Linked DNA regions of Lytechinus pictus. The protein of the gene in region 2 interacts with the protein of the main gene of each other region in a pairwise test. Links are inferred from orthologs where the notes say so. Each region holds a gene or a part of one and is shown on either strand. Other genes may lie near its edges. The genes, in order: G-protein-signaling modulator 2-like, guanine nucleotide-binding protein G(i) subunit alpha and rap1 GTPase-activating protein 1-like.

The links.
Region 1: the proteins of guanine nucleotide-binding protein G(i) subunit alpha (region 2) and G-protein-signaling modulator 2-like interact in a two-hybrid assay, tested with the Caenorhabditis elegans proteins (3 studies listed by BioGRID, with this or other methods). The link is inferred for Lytechinus pictus from reciprocal best matches to the Caenorhabditis elegans genes goa-1 and ags-3.
Region 3: the proteins of guanine nucleotide-binding protein G(i) subunit alpha (region 2) and rap1 GTPase-activating protein 1-like interact in a two-hybrid assay, tested with the Caenorhabditis elegans proteins (2 studies listed by BioGRID). The link is inferred for Lytechinus pictus from reciprocal best matches to the Caenorhabditis elegans genes goa-1 and F53A10.2.

What each region holds. Positions count from the first base shown.
Region 1 is NC_087259.1:14,078,017-14,085,926, reverse strand, and holds the start of G-protein-signaling modulator 2-like, read left to right. Parts: upstream 1-4,898; 5' UTR 4,899-5,344; intron 5,345-7,910. Other genes in the region: U3 small nucleolar RNA-associated protein 6 homolog, read right to left, coding at 67-151, 818-909.
Region 2 is NC_087247.1:11,662,181-11,669,930, forward strand, and holds the start of guanine nucleotide-binding protein G(i) subunit alpha, read left to right. Parts: upstream 1-4,720; 5' UTR 4,721-5,164; coding exon 5,165-5,282; intron 5,283-7,750. UniProt on the Caenorhabditis elegans protein: Guanine nucleotide-binding proteins (G proteins) are involved as modulators or transducers in various transmembrane signaling systems. In the 1-cell embryo, probably together with gpa-16, controls nuclear rotation and spindle elongation during mitosis.
Region 3 is NC_087258.1:27,520,462-27,528,140, forward strand, and holds the start of rap1 GTPase-activating protein 1-like, read left to right. Parts: upstream 1-4,591; 5' UTR 4,592-4,635; intron 4,636-7,679.

The DNA.
Region 1 (7,910 bases), on a different chromosome or scaffold from region 2:
TATTTCTAAAGTTTAGAAATATTAGAAATAGAATATGAACAAAGGTGCCATACTCCACTCTCACACCTGTATGTATCTCAAGAAATCTTCTTTCCTTTTCTTCAGTCTTCCGAGACGGTATTCATGAGCAGTCCTCTTCTTCACAATTGCTCTGCAAAAAAAAAGGTAAGGGAAACATGGGTTACAAAAAAAAGATTAAGATCTTCATTTTTGTGTGATACTGATAACATTTTTTTTGCTTGTCCAGATGTCTAATTCATTTTGGTCGAAATAACCTTACATTTGGGATCTTTTTCTTTTTTTTGCTTGGCTTGCCTTGTCAAATTTTCCAGCCCCTGATCCCCCCTACATTTGGGGAGAGATTTCAACCCTTGGAAATATCACACATTATCCCGCAACCAAATTCTGGGCGGCGTGTCCGAATACTGGGCGGAAAACATCTCCTTCTACATCATGTTCTATCAAAATAAATGTACTATCAGTATCACCACGATCACCAGCAATTTTGTTAAACATGATTATTCAATATATGAGTTCGATAATCTGAAACTGAAAGAGGACATTTTTTTCTTTCTCCTGTCCTGGTTGGTGGATTTACAAATAATAAGGTAGGTATTTATTTTACTAGCAATTTCCCCTCAAGTGTCCGAATACCGGGCGCGTTACCCTACCGACCGTCTGTCCCTAGTTTTGTTTTTTTTTAGCGTGCGCGTGGTGGCTGGCGATGGGCCGGTCGCCCGGTCGGGCTGCGGGCCCGCTGCAGCTGCGGGGATGAGGGTTTCGAATTCGAGCTTCCGTTGGGCCTAGGCCTACTTACTTAATTTCAGATTTTGTAAAGAGTCCTACGCGTTCAAGCTGCTCTAACTCCGCTAGTGTTTCTTCGATATTTTGATGAACGAATTCCGCCATTATTGCTTCTCAAAAACTCAAATGTCAGCACAGTGAATGAAGTTTAAGATTTAAATTACGTGGTGTCTGTGGTACATGCCGTTGCGACGCCACGTGGTATAACTTGTGCATGCACTTTGAAGAATCGTCTAGAAATCTAAAATCAGCTCGTCCTAAAGGCCCATTGAAAGGGGGAAAAGATCGGTATTAAATATTCCGGTGATCGAGTGTTTTCATTGACTGATTTTATTTGGCATCTCTTCATCCGGTGTCACCATATACTAGTACATTAGCATTAGAAACAATAGACTTGCACATGACAACCCACGAAAGTTTGAAAGCCTATTTCCAGAAGAATGTAAAGAAGAAAAAGAATTGAATAGGAAGAGACTAAAATGAGGAGAAGAAGGAGGCGGAGCTAGAGAAGAAGATTCGAAGAGAGGCTAAAGAAGAAGAAGAAGAAGACGACGAAAAGAGGAAGAAGAACGAAGATGACCAAGAAGAAGGAGGAGGAGAAGAAGAAATAGTAAAAGAAGAAGCCAAAAACTACTGGAAACTTAAAAAAAATATTAGATCTAGAGGTCAGGGGCGTCGATCCGATTGGGGGGGGGGCAAAATCATGAATCAACGTTCCAAAGAAGCTCGATCACACAAAACGAACAAACTCACCCACACACACACATAGGCCTATATTATATATATATGCATATGTATATATATATATATATAGGTATCTAAAAGAACAATAGATGCGAGCGCGAAGCGCGAGCTGAAAATTTTGATATTTCGATCTGAAAAAAATGACAGTTTAATGGACGTTTTTAATAAAGAACAAGATATATATCCAACAAAAGATTATTGCAAATCCAAGCAGGAGTTCTTTTGAGGTTTAGAACTGAAAACAGGACATTCTATTCACTTATTTAATCGTGAAAAGTATGGGTTTTTGCTACAAAAATGATGCGAGCGCGAAGCGCGAGCTGAAATTTTTTATATTCCAATCTTAAAAGCGGACATTTTAAGCACGATTTTAGATAAAGAACGAGTTATTATATTTCAATCTCGCTTGCTGATTTCTGTGTTACATTACAATCTTATTTTATTTTTGCACATGTGGAATTATTGGGGGGGGGGCAAAACGATATGTTTGCCCCCCCCCCCCAATATTTTCATTGGTGGGGCGATCGCCCCTCCCCCTGCCCCCCAGGATCGACGCCTCTGTTAGAGGTCAAGTGCACCCCGGCCGTGAAAAATGTTGATTTGTACGAATAGAGAAAAATCTAACAAGCATTATGCTGAAAAATTCATCAAAATCAAATGTAACTAAAGTTATGACATTTTAAAGTTTTGCTTATTTTTCACAAAACAATGATATGCACAACTCAGTGACATGCAAATATCTCATTATGTCTAAAACCAACATTTGGCATTTCGTTTTGGGAAAGTTTATTTCATCCAAAGTGTGAAAAAAAAATTGCCCCGATTCTAAAGGATTTTATTCCTACAATTTTTTTTTTATTCTGGGCTATATATAATAGTGGGAAAAGTTAACTTTTTGCTTCCCAGCAAACTCAGTGAACCCTGACTCTTATTATCAACCATAAGCTATAACTGGGCAGAGGCTATACTTTTTTAAATCAAGTTCTTTCTCCATTATACCGTTTCCCTTCTTGATCCTCTTTATCTCTCTTTTCTCTTCTTTTTTTCCTTTTCCTTCTCTTCCTCTCTGAGTTTCGCTATCTCGTCTTATAGTCTTCCTTGGTGAATCATTTTTTAAAGAATGTCGTCAACCTGACGTCAACCGCTTCTCATTTCGTTTTTTCCTTCACTGTAAAAAATATTGGGTACAATTTTAACCAGCACGAGGGTAATTATGTGTCCAACCATTTACCGAATGCGGGAAGCATATACGTTAAAAAATAAGCAGCAATTACTTTAGAATGGGCAGTAGAAAATGATTAAACTTCTCGATTGGACGATTATAAAAAAGATATGCAGTTAAAGGTTGGGGATCGAGTAGACGTATGGCTAATAAATTGAAATAAAAAAAACAAAGCTCTATTATAATGACATAAAGACACTTTTCCGTCAATAGTAGGAGAAATAATTTTGATTGCTTTGTAAAAAGAATATGTCAAGGTATATTTACTATTCTAAATAAGAAATCGGTGAGAAAGAGACTCGAAATTTTACAAAATATTCGTGTTAAAAGCATTGTCCTTTATTACTAATAACAGGAGCAATAAATTTGATTGATTTGTAAATAGATTGTCAATGCCTATCTGCTACTTAAAAAAAAAACATAATTCGGATGCCGAAAGACGAGACTCGAATTTTTTAACAAAATTTGACGGAGTTAAAAGCGTTGTCTTTTAATGCTAATTTTAGGAGCAATAAGCTTGATTGATTTGTAAATAAATTAATGTCAAGGTCGATCTACTACAAGACTCGAAGTTTACAAAATTCGAGTAAAGTACTGTTATATTAATGTCATTTCCTTATATTTCATTAAATGATTTTAGGGGCATCAGAGTAAAAGTGATTTACGTGCGTGACAGAAAGATTTCGCAAATACGTGATAAAAGAGTGGCTGAAAAGTAATTTATCTATTTTATTTATTCATGTTGTATTTAACAAAATTCGATAAAAATTACAGTGGAGGGTAGTCCGGTTCAGTTATAAAACTGTTTTACAACGGAGCCCTCCACGAATAAAAAGAAACATAAACATGATACTAATCAAAAGCAGAACACATACATAGTAAATGAATAAATAACAGAAAATGAATATCATGAAATAGATAACATAACACAAATCATAATTTGAATAAATATTGAAAACATAAACAAAAACACAAAATAAAATATAAACAAAAACCGTGATTAAGTGTGGCTACACGTGGTATACCCCCCTCCCTCCCAAACTAGGCCAGGTTGTGAAAGTTTTTTGAAGTTATTTAGGGATTAGAGGTTTGTACGGACAATGGTAATTTATTGAAAATAGAATTTGCAGTGAATGAGAATGATCTTTTTTTGTATTCAGATTTAGGGTACGTATGGTATATTTGTAGACGATTTTGGGCAGAATGTCTATAAACAATGGGTCGTATAACAGATAATGGTTTCAAGTATTTTGGTGCAGAATCATTCCAAATTTTGTAAATTAGAATACATTGTTGGTATTTAATCCTCTGTTCAACGGATTGCCAGTTGAGTGTAGTTAAGCGAGTCTTTGATAACTAATTCCAATGTAATTTTGGAAACTCGGGGCATGAATTTCAGCAAAAAAACACTACTACTACTACTACTACTACTACTACTACTACTACTACTACTACTACTACTACTATACTACTACTACTACTATACTATGACTACTACTACTACTACTACTACTACTACTACTACTACTACTACTACTACTACTACTACTACAACAACAACAACTACTACTACTACTACTACTACTACTACTACTACTATACTACTACTACTATACTCCTACTACTACTACATACTACTACTACTACTACTACTATACAATACTATATACCACTACTACTACTACTATACTACTACCACCACTACTACCACTACTACTACTAGTAGTAGTACTACTATTACTACTACTACTACTACTACTACTACTACTACTACTACTACTACTACTACTACTACTACTACTACTACTACTACTACTACTACTACTACTACTACTACTACTACTACTAATACTAATACTACTATACTACCACTACTACTATTACTTTTACTATGCCTATGTAGAACTACTGATACATGTAGAATAGAGTTGTCCCGACCCCTACTTATACTCAAACTTTCTAACAAATACCTGTTTCATCCGTTGTGATTACTATATGATCAGGGTTATTGTAATTATAGGGAATTATACGGTAGTTATAATTTTGTGTTTGGCACTCCACCTGCATTGTTCTATCTAATATTGTTTGTGGTATAGCGCCATCAAGTGGTTATTACTCGATCTATTTCGTACACAAGATACAGTAGAGGGAAGCTACGGTAGATAGCGTTTTGCTTTTATATGGGCGGACAAATTTTTCAACGGCTTTTTCATCGACGTACCTCGCCGCCGATACGGTCCCATCATCCGTGCGCGATCCGTGATCGAGATCGACCAGTGGCAGCGCAGCGCCTGGGAACATCTGAACATAAAAGCCTGAAATTCGAAAGCTGTAACTTAAGTTGAATCGGACATTGTTCCGTGCTGAAGTCTGTGAATCTTCGACAGTTTCAAGATCAGATCATCGATCAGAGTTTCCGTTCATCTCCGACTCCGAGAGACCATCCTCGACTGAATCGCAAGTCTTCTCATTTCCAAAAAAAGGCCAGGCACTGCACAACACAGTCACACAAGGATTAGGGGCCGGCAATCAATCACTGTCACTGTGTCAGTCAGAATGGATATCTTCAGTCTAGTAAGTTTTTATTAATTTTTTAAAAACTCTATTTAATAAAAAAGAGTAGGCCGGCCTAGGAGTAGGACTAACGTGTTACTGTTAGACAATCTAACGCAATCTCTGAAAGAGTTCCCCACCAAAAATAACAAAAGATTAATAAGACTTTACCGTAATATACTAGTAATAGTTCCGGTTCGTTCATTTTTCTATCATTTTTTAAATTTTATGATAGCGGTCCCCAAGTCTGTGCACCTAATGATTTGAGTTGAGATTTTATTTAACATGAATTTCTTTTCATTTCATAAAACCTTTCAGTTGATTGATACGAGTTAGTGTGCCAAATATCTCCTAAAAATTTAAATTAAAAGAAACATAAGGCGTATGATTTTCTTGGAAAAAACCTCATTTTCAGATTGAACAAAAAAATGGTGCCCCAGGGCCCATGTCTGCTCACCCATTCACTTTGCACGCGATCAGGGGATTTTGATGAAAAAGTCTCCATTTTGAGGCCGTCACAAGAAATACCCAAATTTCATTATTTTTCCACCATTTTGAATCGGATTTGTGTATGTATTGCATGTGGAAAGTTTATGTTCATTGCGTACCGGTACCTTCCTCTTTTAGTAGAATAGCGCAGATACGCGTGTGTGCAGACAAGGGAGACTGCGCAGACTTAGGGGAACTTGCCATCTCTTGCTTACCTTAGTTGGGACTCGAACTCGCCTCGTTTTATCTGCAGTCAAGATCTCTTCCCGCTATGCTAGCGAGAAGCGCTGATACCAGAAGGGGTATTTTAACGATTATCAGCCAATTGTTTGACTAGTCTAGACTCACAGACCCAGGGTGCTACATAACTTTTTTGAAGCACTTGCCCAGTCGGGCAAGTAAATTTTCAAATAGTTGGAAAATACTTGCCCGAATATAGATTTCACTTGCCCGAAAAAATCCTTCAAAACAAAGTTTTATTGCTTCAAAACAAGTTATAGCCTTATAGTTTTACATACCATACCATTGACGGCTTTAAAAATACATTTTTCAATATGACTACTGATGTACCTTGTAGTTGTATTTCTTTTTTATCTTGAACATCATGACAAAATAAATGGTAAATATGCTCTTTAATTAATTTCCTAATGTCATATATTTTCCATATATTTTGGAGGGGACTAGGACACACAATAAAAAAAGGGGAAATCACTGAAAATAACCAGAGAAAAAAAATTAAGAGAGGGGGAGAGAATGAAAGAAAAAAAGTAAGAAGAAAGACAGAAAGGACGAAGAAATAAAGGAAGAAAGAAAAAAAAGGAAAAAAAAAGAAATAAAGAGAGAAAGAATGGCTGCGGGGAAGAGAAAGATGGAAAGATAGAAAGAAAGGAAGAAAGAAGGGAAAGGAGGATGGAAAGAAAAAAGAAAGAAAGAAAAAAAGTAGAAAAAAAATGAGAGGAAGAGAAAGGAAGGAAAGAAAGGAATGAATAAAAGGAAAACAAGAAAGAAAAAAGGTAAACAGAAAGGAAGGAAAAGGGAAAGAACGAAAACGAGAGAAAGGAAAGAAGGAAGAAAGAAAAGGTATAAGGATAGATGGAAGGAAGGAAAAAAAAGAAAAGAAAGATACAACGAAAGACAGAAAGAAATGAAGGAAGGAATGAAGGAAAGAGATGAAGGAAGGCAGAAAGAAAAAATAAGGAAGAAAAGAAAGGATGGATGGAAAAAAAAAGAAAGATCAAAAGAACAAAAAAAAATAAAATCAGAAAGAAAGAAGGAAAGAAAGGAAGAAAGGAAGAAGGAAAGAAAGAAAAAAAATAGAAAAAACTTGAGGGGAAGAGAAAGGAAGGAAAGAAAGGAACGAATAAAAAAAGAAAAAGAAAGAAAAAAGGTAGAAAGGAAGAAAGAAAAGAGAAAAAGAAAAGGTAAAGGATTGATGGAAGGAAGGAAAAGAGAAAGAAAGAAAATGAGAGAAATGAAAGAAGGAAGATAGGAAGAAAGAAAAGGTATAGGGCCTATAGGATAGATGGAAGAAAGGGAAAAAAAAAAGAAAAGAAAGATACAACGAAAGACAGAAAGAAATGAAGGAAGGAATGAAGGAAAGAGATGAAGGAAGATAGGAAGAAAGAAAAGGTATATAGGATAGATGGAAGGAAGGAAAAAAGAAAGATCAAAAGAACGAAAGACAGAAATAAAGAAAAACAGAAAGAAAGAAAGAAAGGAAGGAAGGAGAAAGAAAGAAAGGAAGGAAGGAGAAAGAAAGAATGAAAGACAGAAAGGAAGGAATGAAGGAAAGAAAGAAAAGAAAGAATGAAAGGGATGAAGAAAATAAGGAAGAAAAAAAGACGGGAAGAAAAGGTAAAGAATGGATGGACGGAAGGAAGAGAGTAAGAAAGAATGAAAGGAAGGGGAAAAAGAAGGAAGGATTAAAGAAAGAGGTAAACAAAGGTTGGATTGAAGGAAAAAATGAAAAAAGATAGAAAGAAAAGAATGACAGCTATAGTAACAGAAAAAATGAACAAAAGGAAGGAAATTTAAAAAAAGAGATTATAAAGAAGGAAAGATAGGCAGAAAGAAAGAAAATAGAGAGGAAGAAAGCTCA
Region 2 (7,750 bases):
CCGCTCTACCGACTGAGCTATCGCGCCTCCCATTGATCTTGCATTCAAAGTAGAAATGCAACAAAACCTTCATAAGAGTGTTCATTGATGTGCTATTCTAGTCAAGTGGTCTATGCAATTTCTGCATCCTGCTATGAACAGAAAGGCGTGCTTGAATAGTATCTTTTGCTTTGAAATCTGCCTATCATAATGAAAGAAATGAAAGGTCATTTGACCAAAATTGCCCATGAGGTAACTCCAAACTGGTCGAGTTGCAAGCCGGAGTTTTCAGTAAAGATATCAGGAATAGGAAATTTTCAAGTGCAACAGTGACTGATTCCGCAACGTGGTACATCTGTTGAAAAGGCAAGTCAAATCGAAATGGACACCTGAGAGATATTTGTCGAAAGTCGGTGAATGGACAGGGACAGCATTATTGTCCCATGCTTAATTCGGACCGGACGAAAATTTGAAAATTATGTTGTTTGTCCAGAGTTCAGAACGATGGATACTAGAGTTTTAATTCACTTAATAGTTTCGACAAAGACTTCTTTGTCATGGATGTCTTTTGACAATAGATTTTCTACGTTCCAATAGTTTACCCAGCACACCCGATGGATCGTGGACGGACTGACGCATATAACCATGATCCGATTCCGTCAACTAGTGTACATTGAAGGTTATAATTGCATCATCCTCCTTCTTCACACACGGATCAAGAGGGGACCAATGGCAACCCTACCGCCACACGTTCCTCAAATTGTATATACATGTGTGTTATGTACTTGTATTTCTGTTTTGAACAGCTAGAATATTGGCAGATGCCAGTGAGTGTTCCAATAAATTCAATTTATATAGATACAATTCATAATGATTATGCTCCTATTCCGATCTCGTGTTGAAACAAATTCAGGGAGTTTCTAACTCCCTGATGATGAACTCTAAAGTTGTTGGTTTTTAATTGGTTAGTCAGTTGGGAAATAAAAAAAAAGGGTTCGGTTTAGTCCCGTAGAAGTTTGTTCATCCTACATAATATAACTTGCATCAGTTTTCTTTGCGGCATATAGCACAATGAACACAAGAAACATATAATTTCACAAATTTTTTACATTTTCGACGTCCTTTAATTTTGGCAGAATTAGACCATGGACGTTAAACCCGCTTTAAAGTTGCTCCATTCAGTGCTTTCACATTTTTCCTCTACTACCCGAAGGAGAACAAGAAGCGGGACAAGAAGAAAAAGGAGAGGAAGAGGAGGAATGAAGAAGAAGAAAAAGAGGAAGAAGCAAAAGAAGGAGAAGAAAAATATGAAAAACAGCATATTTTGAAAGACAAAACCATTTTCTCGTAGAAGTGAACATGGCTGTACGCAGCGGAGGGGGGGGGGGGGGGGGTCTGTCCTCCCCCCAAAAAAATTAACTGAAAATTATCACAAAATTCACCAGACGTGTGAACGAATCCTTCAATTTAATTTAAGACAAATATACAAAGCGCTCCATTGACAAGCTCGATTGCTTCACTGCTTCACTTTCAAGTTTTATCGAAAAATTTTACGCGTTACCCCCGCCCCCCGAAAAAATTATGGGTATGGTAATGGAAGCTGAATAAATCACGACACTTAGTGCCGGCGCTGTTTCCAAGATTTGTTTGAAGGGGGTGCTGTTAGTCCACCCCCCCCCAAAAAAAAAAATGAAATACAAAATATATACACGTATATTGACAAGTGAAAACAGGTCGTCACAATATTAATAAACAGTGTTTAGTATGAAGACAAATTCGACAAGCATTTTCCAGCACCCCTCTCCCTCAATTGAACCCCGCCTGAATTTCAAATTGCCTTGCTATCCCTTACCAATGATCCTTATATACCAGCATGGACCTATTAGGTCCATGATACCAGTAATACCTTGGTCACATTTGTTCTACGGCGGCCGTACGGCGAGTCGAAAACAGCCGTTTCAACATTTTGTGTACCAACTACATATAGGTGGTTTGAATCAAAATTAATAAAACGGCTGTTTTCGACTCGCCGTACGGCCGCCGTAGATCAAATGTGACCAAGGTATTACTCAACAGGACCGTGAGTAAAATAATGGTAAGCAATTACATAGCGCCACCTATTGAGAATAATTTCTAGTCTTCCTTTGGAATCGGTGGATCCAGTGATAATCAAACAGTTTGTTCCCTTTGTGACTGACTGCTATATCATTCTCCTAGAATATGAAAGAGCTTAATTGTTGCTTGAACCAACACCATTCATGTGCGAGCGCAGCGAGCGAGAACATTAAATATGGCGTCTCTTAAAAAGAAGTTCAAGGGTTTTATTCAATTTGTGCTCTGAATAATTTATCATCATCTTCAATTATAGAAAATTGGTAAAGAATAATGCCTTTGGGTGTTTACCTGCTCGTCCGGGAGCCGGAAAGCAAGACATCCAAAAGGAGTCACAAATTATTAGCCAGATATTATTTGGTAGACTGAAAAAAGGACAATGCCGGTCGGAAACAGCAGGGGGGCATGGGTAGGGGTGCCTCCACGAGGGCAAGGGCGGAAATCTCACCCCAAAGGTAGGGGGGGGGACCAGGGGCTGGAAAATTTGACAAGCAAAAAAAAAAGGTTATCACCCCAAGTGTAAAGTCATTTCGACCAAAACACACGTTTTATTTCGATTTTGAATGATGTATTTTTTCCATCATAGAAGACCAAAAATAATAGGGGGACATTTGAAATTGTGTCCCCCTACTATTTTGGGTAGGGGGGACGCGACCATCTGTCCCCCTCTGATTTCCGCCCATGCATGAGGGTCAAGGGCCCCTTGCACCCTGTAGATAAATACACAATGTAAAAACAGGGAGAGACGAGAAAGTGAGGGGAGAAAAGGAAGGGGAAAGAGGAGAGAGAAAAGAGAAAGAGGTGTTCCCCCTCTTGTGAAATTGAAGACCTTTTTTTTTTTTTTTTTTTGCTTGTCAAATTTTTGTCGGGTACGAAATATCCCCCCCCCTTTTGGAAAATCCTGGATCCGCCCTTGGGTAGAGGGGACAAAAAGGTAAGGGGTGAGAAGCAAAATATGGAAAGAGTGAGGATAGAGGAACAAATGAGATGGAAAGGGAGAAGAAAAATAAACAAATGAAAATAGAGAGGGAGATAGAGAAGCAAAAGAATGGAAACGAAGAAAAGAAAACAGGGGGAAGTTAAAAACGGACAGCCCCTGTCCTTGTGTGTAGGTTGATATTTAGGGTATTCACGGACGTTTTATTATTTCATAGTCATATTTCCCCCCCCCCAAAAAAAAGGAAAAGAATTGTGCCCCCCTCTAACAACATCGACAAAAAAGAAAAAAAATTGGACAAGAATAATGTCTTTGATCGCCTCTTATGTGTAATTACCTGCTCGTTCGGGAGCCGGAAAGCAAGACATCCGAAAAGGAATGAAAAGAAAAAAGAAAGGAAAGGGAAATGAAGAGAGAGGGAGAGAGAGATAGAGGGGAGAGGGGGGGGGGGGCACCATGTCGATACGGCCTTAAATGCCCTACCCCCTGAATATTTGTTTTCTTTTCAAAGGAAAGGGAATACTGATCTATGCACTGAAAAATTATCATAGGCCCATAACATACAGAAATGAAAGGGACCAATGCTGGAATGGAAGCTGCCCTCTATTGGCGGTACACAGAATGGGTAAAGAGAAGAACAACAAGAATGGGAATGAAAATAGTAGGAAGAAAAAAAAATCATTATACATATATTCAGTTGTACTTGAATATATTGAGTATATATATATATATGGCCGAAATATATATGTATATATATATATGCCTACATCCTACGAAAGGGCGAAGTCAATGAATGGGTTTATTCTGTCATAATACACATATAGACGTAAAGACGAAGGTAGATGGCGTTAAGGCGCATTAAAAACAACGAAAGAAGACAAAAATAATTCGCCTTAAACACAGATGTATAGAAATATATATATATATATATATATATATATAGGCCTATATATATATTCCCCCTGGGGAACTTTGATTTAAGCTACGCCTACCATTGTTCTCTTCATCCATTTTTTTCACAATATATATATATATATATATATATATATATATAATGTTAAATGTGAAAAAAATTATACATGTACAATAGCTTTTGCAACTCTTGTATTTAAATATATTTGAAAAAAATGAATGAAAAGAACAATGGCTATAGATCTGTATAATTATATAGGCCTATACATAGGTTCAAACAAATAAAAATATTAAAACGACGTGGATAATATATATTTTTTTGCTACAGCTACTGTTGTGTGCAAATGGTTTATGTCCCTAATTTTCTAAAACCGAGGATAAACCTAGATATAGATCTAACAGTTAGGCTCCCACAGACCTAATTAACGTTAAAATGCGGATTAAAAGTTGCCAAAGCTTTCAATACAAAATGAATGTCATTTTGGTTATCTAAATATAATTTTTACATTTTTACACAATTCTTCCAGAATAGGCCTAACGTTTAAGTTACCAGGTGTGCTGCCTCAGGAGAATAATAAAGTATACACACTGGCACTGCACCCCCAAGGAATTTTTGGGGGGTGCTTTAGCACCCTTAGCACCCCCTGCTTCCCAGGGCCATGATCCGTGGGTCGAGGAACCAAATTTTTTTTTTATTAGGCCCAATCAAATTTTTATCCTTTCTGAAATTCTGGTGTATAATTTGTTATATCGCTTCGAATCCGGGACATTTCCCATAATGCCTTTCACAGAGATGTACGACGTTCGTATTGCGATCTGAGAGGTCGGCCGCGATAAAGCATCATGAGCGATTTTATGCGGGTACCGATTTTGCTTCGCCGTTGATCTTGTGTAGCAAAAGTGTGCCGGTGGTACGGTACGGTGTACGTGTATTGTGTGTACGCGCGACTCGACTGGGGTGTGGTGGTATACGGTGAATTTCTACGGAAGAAAGGCTTGCAGAACGGAATATCATTACTTTTGTGCGGAAAAATAACTTGTTTTGGACACTGCTGGACGGTGCAATTGTATCAGGATAACCAATTTTAAATGGAACTACCAAGGACTCTAGAGTTTGGAGAATAAAGAGGATATATCGACGGTTTGTAGACATTCAGACCGAGTGTCTGACCGGCTGTTCTTAACTTACTGGACTGTGCATAAACGTTATTTTATTATTCCAAAATGGGGTGCGCTACGAGCGCAGAAGATAAAGCGGCCGCTGAGCGGTCGAAAATGATTGACAGAAATCTACGGTTAGAAGGAGAAAAAGCAGCTAGAGAAGTAAAATTATTGCTCTTGGGTACGTATTGTGGATCACCATAGCCTACTGAAAAATGAAAATTTAATCACACAGGCAAATGATGTGTTAACATAAGTCATAACAACATGAAGTGTGAAGTGACAGAGCTGGATTTGTGCAGTGCCAGGCCAGTGGCAGTGCAGTAGCAGTGCAGTGGAGTGTGGAATCTTGTTCACTGCTGCTGCTGTATGAAGTCAAATGAATGATAATATCTGTAGAATAACAAAAAATATGATGAATGGATGAAAATTAAATTCTAAAACATGTTTTAACATTATTATCATGTTAGCTACTGGTACTTGCTTTTCACTTGATCCACCTTTTGTCTTGAGTCGTAACTATTGACCACTGACCACCTCTCTGACTCTGACTCTGAGCTGTGACTGTTCGCAAGTTGTTGCTTAGATATGTGTAAAAAATCCAGCTGCTACAAGATCAACTAAAGCAATTACGCAAAAAATTGTGTTGGTGCAAGAAAGCCCGTACTCCTTAGCGAAACATCGCCAACCACATCGGTGCAGAAATGGCATTTTTGTGCGGATGTGATGAACGAAAGTGTGGTGTTAGCGTTTTTGCACTGACATGAAATGCAGCGTTCCCACATGTCATACTCATAAACAAAATTTAATGTGCTCTTTTATATTTGGAATAACCAACAAAGAAAACAAACGCAGGAAAGTGATGTATTACTGATCACTTTCATAAATTCAATCATATCAAAAACAATGTTTTCTAAGAATTTGACAAAACTTCAAGTTCCACCAATCAGAATCACAAATACCCAAATATTAAAATGAAAATAAAGAAAACGGGCCAGCATCATGAAAACAAAGAACTCCAGATAGACTCACTCTCAATGGAAAGCAAAGCTCGAGAACAATGGTCTGTGAACAGATATGTGCTTTACATGTGTAAAGTCCATGCGCCTGCACTTTGTCGAATTAGGGTATTGTCTACATGTACATGTACATTGTACAGGGTGTACCTTGACTTTTCAAAGAGAGTGTGTGGAGCTGATGCGTCCAAGAAATAGGGCCCCGTCTTCCAAACCGAAGAACTTTTGTCTTTGAAATTGTAGGTTTTTGATAGCCTCTGGTGCTGGAGACAGTAGACATTTGAGGCAGGGCTCGACATAAGCAGTGGCCTGTTGGCCCGGGGCAACCAGAAATAAGAGTCGGGCTACCAAAAATTATGTTAAAACCCACACTTGGTGGCTTGATTGGGCTACCAAAGTCTTGATAAATTGTAATGTTGTCTATTGTTTTAGGGACACCAAATTTGCTTTGCTGGTCACCAAAAAATATGAAATTGATGATTTTGGTGGACTAATCGGGCCACCAAGTGTGGGTTTTAACAGAATTTTGGTGGCCTGACTCTCTTTTTTTGGTTGCCCCAGTCCCATTTTAACCAAGGATTGGTGTTTTGCTCACTGCAGCAAATCTACAAGACATTTGCATAGTTTCACGATTGTCATATTTGAACAAAAAATTCAGCCATTTGATTCTACATGTAATCTACATATATGTAGGATCTCTCTGAAGCTAACAAAGAAGAACAAGAACCGGTTTTAGAATGGAGGTAAAAAGGGAAGGAGAATTGGAAATGCTGCTCAATAAAAGTATGACCTCAAGGAAAAATCCAGCTTTTCTCCATGGTTCACTGCAAAGATAGCATGCTATTAAAGATACATGTAGTGACCCTAATTGAGGGTTATATGTACATACATGTAGCCCCCTGCTCTATCAACTGGTAGCTTTGAATTTAAAGGACAAGTCCACCCCACCAAAAAGTTGATTTGAATAAAAGGAGACAAATCTAACAAGCATAACGCTGAAAATTTCTTTAAAATCGGATGTAAAATAAGAAAGTTATGACATTTTAAAGTTTCGCTTAATTTCTCAAAATAGTTATATGCACATCATGGTCGGTATGCAAATGAGGGAACTGATGACATCACTCACTCACTTTTTCTTTTGTATTTTATTAGATGAAATATGAAATATTCTAATTTTCTCCTCATTGTCCTGGGAAACAAAGTTTTATTTCTCCCTGAACATGTGGAATTAAAAAGAAGGGCAACAAAATGTACATGTTTGTATGGTAACTTAAGGTCCCCTGGGTTTGCGCAGGGCCTGCGCATACATACATCTGTGCGATTCTAGCAAGAAGATACGCGACGACGGTTCTTACATGTGCAATACATAGAAAGATATTCATTTAAAAATCTGACTCGATCAAAATGGTGGAAAAACAATGATTTTCGGGCATTTCATGTGACGGCCTAAAAAATGCAGCCTTTTTTATAATAAAAATTCCTCAATTGTGTGTATACTGTAAAGTGAATGGGTGCGCAGACATGGGGCACCATTGTTTTTATCAATCTGAAAATGACTGGCTGAGGTTTTTATGAGAAAATCATATATATATTTCTCCCAAAATTTTTACGAGATTTTTGGCATGCATACTCA
Region 3 (7,679 bases), on a different chromosome or scaffold from region 2:
ATACCCCTTTCATAAACCCAATAAAACCTATCCTCCAATTAGCCGCCTAAGAGTAATGCGGATAATTCAATAAAAATTGCGTTCACAAACTCCGAAAATTATCCGCATTATTTTTACGAGCGCCCGTCCTGCAAAAGGCGGATAATCGTCATGACAACTGGACATGCCCCCTCCGATGCGGTTGTGTTGGAAAAGGGTGACCTTGTGACCGCACCATGGCAATTATCCGCATTATTTGGAAATACGTTCATAAACTCAAAATCTTGTCCCGATGCCGCTATTATGCGGACAATAGCAGCATCAGAATAATGCGGATAACTCTTGTCCTCCTCTGATTTTACGACCAAATTATGCTGCTATTAGCCGCATAATTGGGTTTTATTGGGTTTATGAAAGGGGTATAAGTAGCATATTGGACATGGAAATGGTCTGCATTGTAGACCCATGGCATGATAGGACCATGGAACTAGGCTTAATTCTACAAAAGGCGGTTTCAAACCACCTCGATCACAAGAATCTCCGATACATTACGAGAACATTTTTAGGCTAAAAAATACCCATTAATTATTCCTGCATTCACACCGCCCCGAAACATACCCTTCGGGATAAATTCCTGAAGTTAGGAGCATGCGCAGTATGGTCTAATAAGCAGGCAAGGCGCGAGATTCAAAACCACTAGCCCAGCAGCCACCCACGGCGCCCGCGCCCAACGACACGCTGGGCTAAAAGTTCCCGTAAATTGCTTTCACATTGCCAAAATACCTGCGACCTTGGAAAAATCCCCGCGAAAGTTCTCGTAATTTCGCCAAGTACCTACTATTTAGCGGGTATTTTCTTTCGGGGAAATTACGCGTAGTTTGCTTTCACATTACCAAAATACCTGGTATTTTCTGATCGGAGTGAATTTCCCCGATCAGAGAATACCTGGAACTGACGAACTTCGAGGCGGTCTGAAACCACCTATTCTCTTTCCTTGTGGGACCAAATAACTTTGAGTAATATCTAATGTTTGTCTGGGTTAGGGCTTAGACTAGAGCCAGGTTATCTTCATCAGATAGTGTGTGCTTTATTATGGAGTCTGGATGGTGAATGTTTTTTATTATGTGATGTTACAGATGATTCTGGCCAATTGTTAATTGGACTTTTTACATCTCTTTGTCCTTGAGATGATGGAAGCCTACCACCCCCCTCTTGTTCTCTCTCTCTCTCTCTCTGTGACTCCCTCCCCTCTTTTTCTTCCCACTCTGTCTATCTTTCTCTTTCTTCCCCCATTCTCTCTCATTCTCTTCCTTTCTATCTCCCCTTCTGTCCGTCTCCCCCCTCCTCTCTCTTTCATCATCACTTCCTAAGAACACAGCCTGTTTCCTGTTTGACAGCAGGTTCATTGTTGAGTTACATAACTTTCAAATAACAACCATTTTCCATGCCCGAAGATTTTCTTTTTACGATGGGGAAGCCAGAATGAAGCATCATAATGAAGATACCTGACTTCCCTGTAACTTATGTCTACCATATCAAGGGGCTTCCAAAAAAGGAGCAATAGTCGCTTTCATTGGATTATGCAATGAGACAGGTGCATTGTTATGTCATTCCAAAAATAAAAAAACATAAAAAAGTCATCCTAACTCGACCCATTCTATAATATCTCCCTTGCTTTCCTGAAGGTAAAAGCCTGGTTGCCTGACGTGTATTTTATAATCTGGCAGCATACATAGACCTAGTATTAGTTTGTATTAACTTCTTGACTGTTGAATTTTATTAACTAGGCCTATATAGTACATTCAGTGGCTTCTCAAAACCCAAGACTGAGTCTGCAGGCAGAGACTATAGGCATTATTTTGCAATTTAGCTTCAGGACATGATTTCCATTCCTGTCTTGTAGTCTGAAAGTTCAGACCTTTATGTTGTGTTTCAACAAATGGGGGGTTTGGGGATGCAAGAAAGTTGTGTCCGAGTACATAACCCTTCTGGGAGGTTACTGTGCAGATGGACCTTTAAAATCAGTAATGCAATACTATTGTATTATAGGGAAAATGGGGATATATCAGAATATTTTGCCCCTTTTTTTCATTGGCTGGCTTTTTTGGGGGAGGGGGATGGTGACATGGGATGACTAATGATGCAATGTACTCATATTATTACCTTCTGTGTAAATAACCATTTGAAATCATCAGCCATGATGGTTCCAGGGAAGAGGGAGTTAGTCAGACTTCATTGATAAGTTTGTTTTTAGTTAGATAACGTTGGGACCGTCTCTTGAAAATTAGCATTTTTAAGTAGACCTCCAGACGTTGTGGCGTTGGTATGAGTCAAGAGCGGATTAGAGCCAACATTCCTTTCTTCATTGAATGGTTTATGGAAACATGTGCTTGAAAGTAAATGAATGCTGGTGATGATTGGATGATGTCCTTAATTTTTTTTTTCGGTATGAAATACGAAACATGTCACTTTTGTGTAGGCCTAACTCTCCCCCAAGAAGGGGAGGTGGTGCACATCAAGTTTCATTGCAGATTATGTGAAAAGAGAAAATCCCTTTCTTACCATGTTGTTTTTCATTATCTGCAATTGTATCTGCAATTGTGATTGCACCAAATGCTAATATGCTTTTCACACTGCACTTTTTTCCTTAACTCAGGGAAATTGGTGGGGCTAACGGGGGTCTTAGCCCCACCAATATCCTGGGGTTAAGCTTAGCCCGATTCGGTTTCACTGCGTTTTAGCGAAGTGGGCTAGCACGGTAAATTGTACGGTATTATCTGGCCCTGCTAAAAAGCAGGGTAAGCCGGCTTATTGCGGTGCTAAGAGATGCAGTGTAAAACGAAACCGGACTAAGGAAAAGTGGGCTAAGCATTAGCCTATTGCAGAAGTCGAAATTGCATGTTAATCATGCTCATTATCGATCACAAGAATCCCCGTTAAATTACGAGAAAATTTTTAGGCTAAAAATACCCATTAATTATTCCTGCATTTACACCGCCCCGAAACATACCCTTCGCGATAAATTCCTGAAGTTAGGAGCATGCGCAGTATGGTCTAATAAGCAGGCAAGGCGCGAGATTCAAAATCACTAGCCCAGCAGCCACCCACGGCGCCCGCGCCCAACGACACGCTGGGCTAAAAGTTCCCGTAAATTGCTTTTACATTGCCAAAATACCTGCAACCTTGGAAAAATCCCCGCGAAAGTTCTCGTAATTTCGCCAAATACCTACTATTTAGCGGGTATTTTCTTTCGGGGAAATTACGCATAGTTTGCTTTCACATTACCAAAATACCTGGTATTTTCTGATCGGGGTAAATTTCCCGATCAGAGAATACCTGGAACTGACGAACTTCGAGGCGGTCTGAAACCACCTTGTGTGGCCAAATCATCAATATTCATGCGCTGTGCTATAGTCCAGGGTTAAGGCGTTACCCACGGCTTAGCAAATAGTATGGGGTTCAGAAAGACAGTGTGAAACAACAAAAAATAGAATGGGGTTAAGGAAATGCAGTGTGAACAGCATATAAGTGTTTGGAGCATCATAATCATCACATCTGTCTGGAATTAAAGTACTGGCCTGGAAAATACCAGACTAGCATGCTGCCTGTTTGGCTCAAGACCTGACGCCAGCCAGCTTTTCAAAAGACCAGTCAACTAGTGTTTTTTTTTTACTTTACCACTCATTATCCATAGCCTATGAATAAAAGATTGATAAGCAACCTATTTACACTAGGAAAAAGATCAAAGAAAAAATGTAAGAAGTGTATACCACAAACAATGTCTTGAGAAAGAGATAAGAATGGTATGCACTGCACTATCAAGTTCATTAGTCTCATTAAGAAAACATATGCTGGTAGTGGCATAGCAGTATTATTTTGTAATTCGATAAATTTCATTGTGTGAATGGGTGCAGTATTGAGAAGCTTGACCCGCTCCTTGGTGAACCATTCTCAAGATGTTTCAGATTTCTCGGTTTTACTCATGTGCAAGTAATCATCATTCAAGAACAAAACCTAATGAAGTTTTTTTTGTTTACATCCTGACTCTGTTGGTCAATAGAGTGCAATCTTATCCATGCTTTGTTGGGGGTTTTTTTCCAACAAGATTCCTGAAGTCAGGCATTTTGTTTTTTTATTTCTCTCAACGAATGTCTTTGTTTTGTTGCCTGTCTCCTACATTGTGAAATGCCTTTAATCCAATTGCATAATATTTATTGAAGGCATATGTACCTGTTATTCATTATCCATGCCTCAATGTACCTGATAATTTATTCTGCATGTTCATATCTGCCATAACCAGATCAATTTCCTGTAATAATGAACCAGCAACAATGGTATTGAAAAATGCAAATTTTCTTCTGCCTCCCATTGTATTTGTAGGCCCGACTTCTTATCACAAACATTCTTGCAACTTTTGAAGGTATATGTAATTCAATCTTGTATTAAACTATGTCACAATATGCTTTGCGGTTTGTATTCCGTTATCATTTTACTTATAAAAAAACGTCAAAATTTTCATTGACTCACTCTCGACATTAGATTGTATTTTGCATAAAATGCTGATATCAAACGTAATTGTATAATTTTCATTTTCATTTTATTTTTCAGAAAAACGATGCAGAATTAGATTTCTTTGAGTTCCTCGAAAAGATACAGGTAAGAAATTCTTATTTTCTGTCATTCTTTTTTTTTCTTCTTTTTTACCCCTTCCTCTCTCACTCTGTTCCTATTCCCAATCTCTCAGCATTGCATGTACTGTATGTGCTTCATAAATCCACCAATGTTCAACATGATGTCAACACAATAGCAGGTGCCATGCTACTAACTTGTCAAAATAATCCTCTTAAAATAAGAAGTCATTGGTTTTTAGGCGCAGACAAGCTAGCTCTCAAACATCAGTCAGTATACACTCCAAAGGCTTATCATGTTTACAAGTAATTTCATCCTGACAGAAACAATTGAACTAAATGTTCAAAAATCTTTATTAAAAAAAAATTCAAAGGTTTAAAAACATCTGTTCATATTAGTGAAAGTATGTTATGTATCCTTTGTTAGAAATAACAATAATTCTCAACATTTCAAGCTCATGTTAATACGAGTGTATTTTTCGCATTAAGGCTAAATTAAAGTCAAATATAATAAATATAACAGAGCATTCCAGTTCTTTATAATGGTATTCAACCCCTTGAAAATGATAAAATGTCAAATTGTAAGTATTAATTTTTCGATTTGTTTTGTTTTTGTTTAAAAAAAATAAAGATTGGTATTGAATTCCAGCATATTTCACTCCTCCATTCAAGATAATGCTTTGAGAAGTAAAGACGTTATTGGCAATGTAATGTTTTCATGCGAAATATTTTGATATAATAGATTTAACTGAGATCAACTAGTTGTAATTCCTATAAAATTCTATCACAAATATTTCCAGAAAATGTTTTGATGATGTTTGCTATGTTATTCTGTTATATCCTTGAGTGTATACATCATGGGCCTGATTAGACCTCAAGCCAATTTATAAAATTGAGTCTCAAGCATTCAACAGCTGACCATTAAAACCCTTTATCCTCTTCATTACTCAACTCACAATGAAAGATGGAATTATTGTTGCCTGGAGGTGATCGCACCAAATTACATGGTAATGAATTTCAGCAGACCAGAACTAATTAATCAATTTGCCAAGTTGTCTTTCAGCGGAGGCGATACAAATTTGCACTGTGAATCACGCGGGACCCAACCCTTCAGGGGGAACCGAAATCAAATTAAATCATCTAAATCAATTTTTAGAAAAGTAAGGATGTTATGATCACCCTGGGCGTATTATTTGTCCGCTAGGTCAGTCTGGTTGCTTGCCCCTCACCTCTCTTGATCTTTCACTTTCTTACTTTATTTTGATATTTTTCGCCCTCTTCCATTTTTCTTGTTTTTCCTATCACCAGCAGTTCTTTTCAATTTTTCTTGCTATTTATTTACTCTACTTTCACTTTATTTTGCTCCCGTGCTGTTTAAAAATAGTTCTTTTAAAAACGAATACTCATTCTACCTTTACCTTACTTTTCTCATGTTGTATCAAGTCTGCCAATACATTTTCTTTTGAATAGTTACATTTTCTTTTGAATAGTTACATTATAGTTTCTTACTCTACTTTCCTCCCATATCTCATACAAGCTCAGCTCCAATTTTTCCTTCCTTATTCAGGCGATATAATAATTATTATATATATATATATATATATATATAAATGTGTGAAGTTATACATGTATATATATATATATGTTCCAGAACCTGTTTGATGTTGCCTGCCTCATTATTTTAATCCCTCTTGGCTTGAGGTCTTTTACTGGCCTTACTTACACTAACTTCCCTTTGTGTCTGCCTACTCCTTTTCTTTCATCCCCTTCACTAACCTGATTGGTCTTCTCTACTCACTAATGCCCCTTTTGTCTCCTTGTTTCTAGTGTTGCTGTAGCTTGTTTGTGGTCTATATTATGGTTGTTCCACTTTATATGTTTGTCATTTTGCCTCCGACGAAGATTCTGCTAGGATCGAAAGCTTAGGCCCCTTTTTGACTTTCTAATACATTTTCTTATAACGATTCAGTCACCACTCTCAATGAAGAATCAGATTTGATAAAAACAGAGACTATCGCTGTTGAGAAAGTTCATCCGTGATTATTTTTGTCTTATTCACCATCCCTGTTTCAGTCATTCTATAGTTTCTTGTAAACCACTGATGTGTGTTAGCAGCTATAAATAGAGTGCTTATTCCCTCACATTTCGCCTGGTGATATTTGGACAATAAATTTTCTGGAAGACTCTGGAGACGTTGAAAGAGAAATTTCACCTCTTGTCGTTTGAATGCAATTATTGAACGGTTGCTATTGGCAACAGTGGAGAATAGCGCACAATTTGGACCAATTTCGTGGGTGTTATTTATTGTGTCATGTTTAGTATTAATCTTAATTTTTCCATGTACACCTCTATTTCTCTATCCCCCCCTCTCCCTCTCTCTGAACTTAAATTTCATTTCGTCTTGTGGTTTCATTTTTCATATTATCAACCTGTCAAATCCTTTCTAATTTTCTCTTTCATTGATAAGATACCAGTTATTAATCAATGTTGTGCTATGATGTACATATATTATTTAGAGTTTAGTAGAATCTTGAAAAGGAAGTACTGCCTGAAACGGTGTGTTACAAGGTGTTCCACAAAAAATGGAACATTGTTTTGAGGATTACTAGTTATTGGCTTTCAAAATGTTTCAATTCTATTTGCTTCATCGGTTAAAGCCTCTTGTATCAGAGCAAGGGAAATCCAGAGCATTTAATTTGGTGAAGTAGAAAACAAAATTATTAATATTCTGAGGCAATTGAATTTGGAACAACTTTTCCTTTTTTTGGACACCTTATACTGATGCATGCTTGAGCACGACATAATGCAGCATGACCTGAATGTATGATGTAGGTCTTGTATGTCACTGATTGTATCATCTACACTCAATCTCTCTAATCTTTCGTGCTACTAATAGTCAGACTGGTGAAACCAACCCCTCCAGACCGACCAAACCTATTACATTATTACCAATGACATACCAATGCTTGGTTTGGGGTCGGTTTCATTGGTGTGTCTGTAGCGTTAGATATTAACCTACTCATCATCGCCTGTCTCTGCTTTCACAAACCCACACTTGACATCTTGTTCATA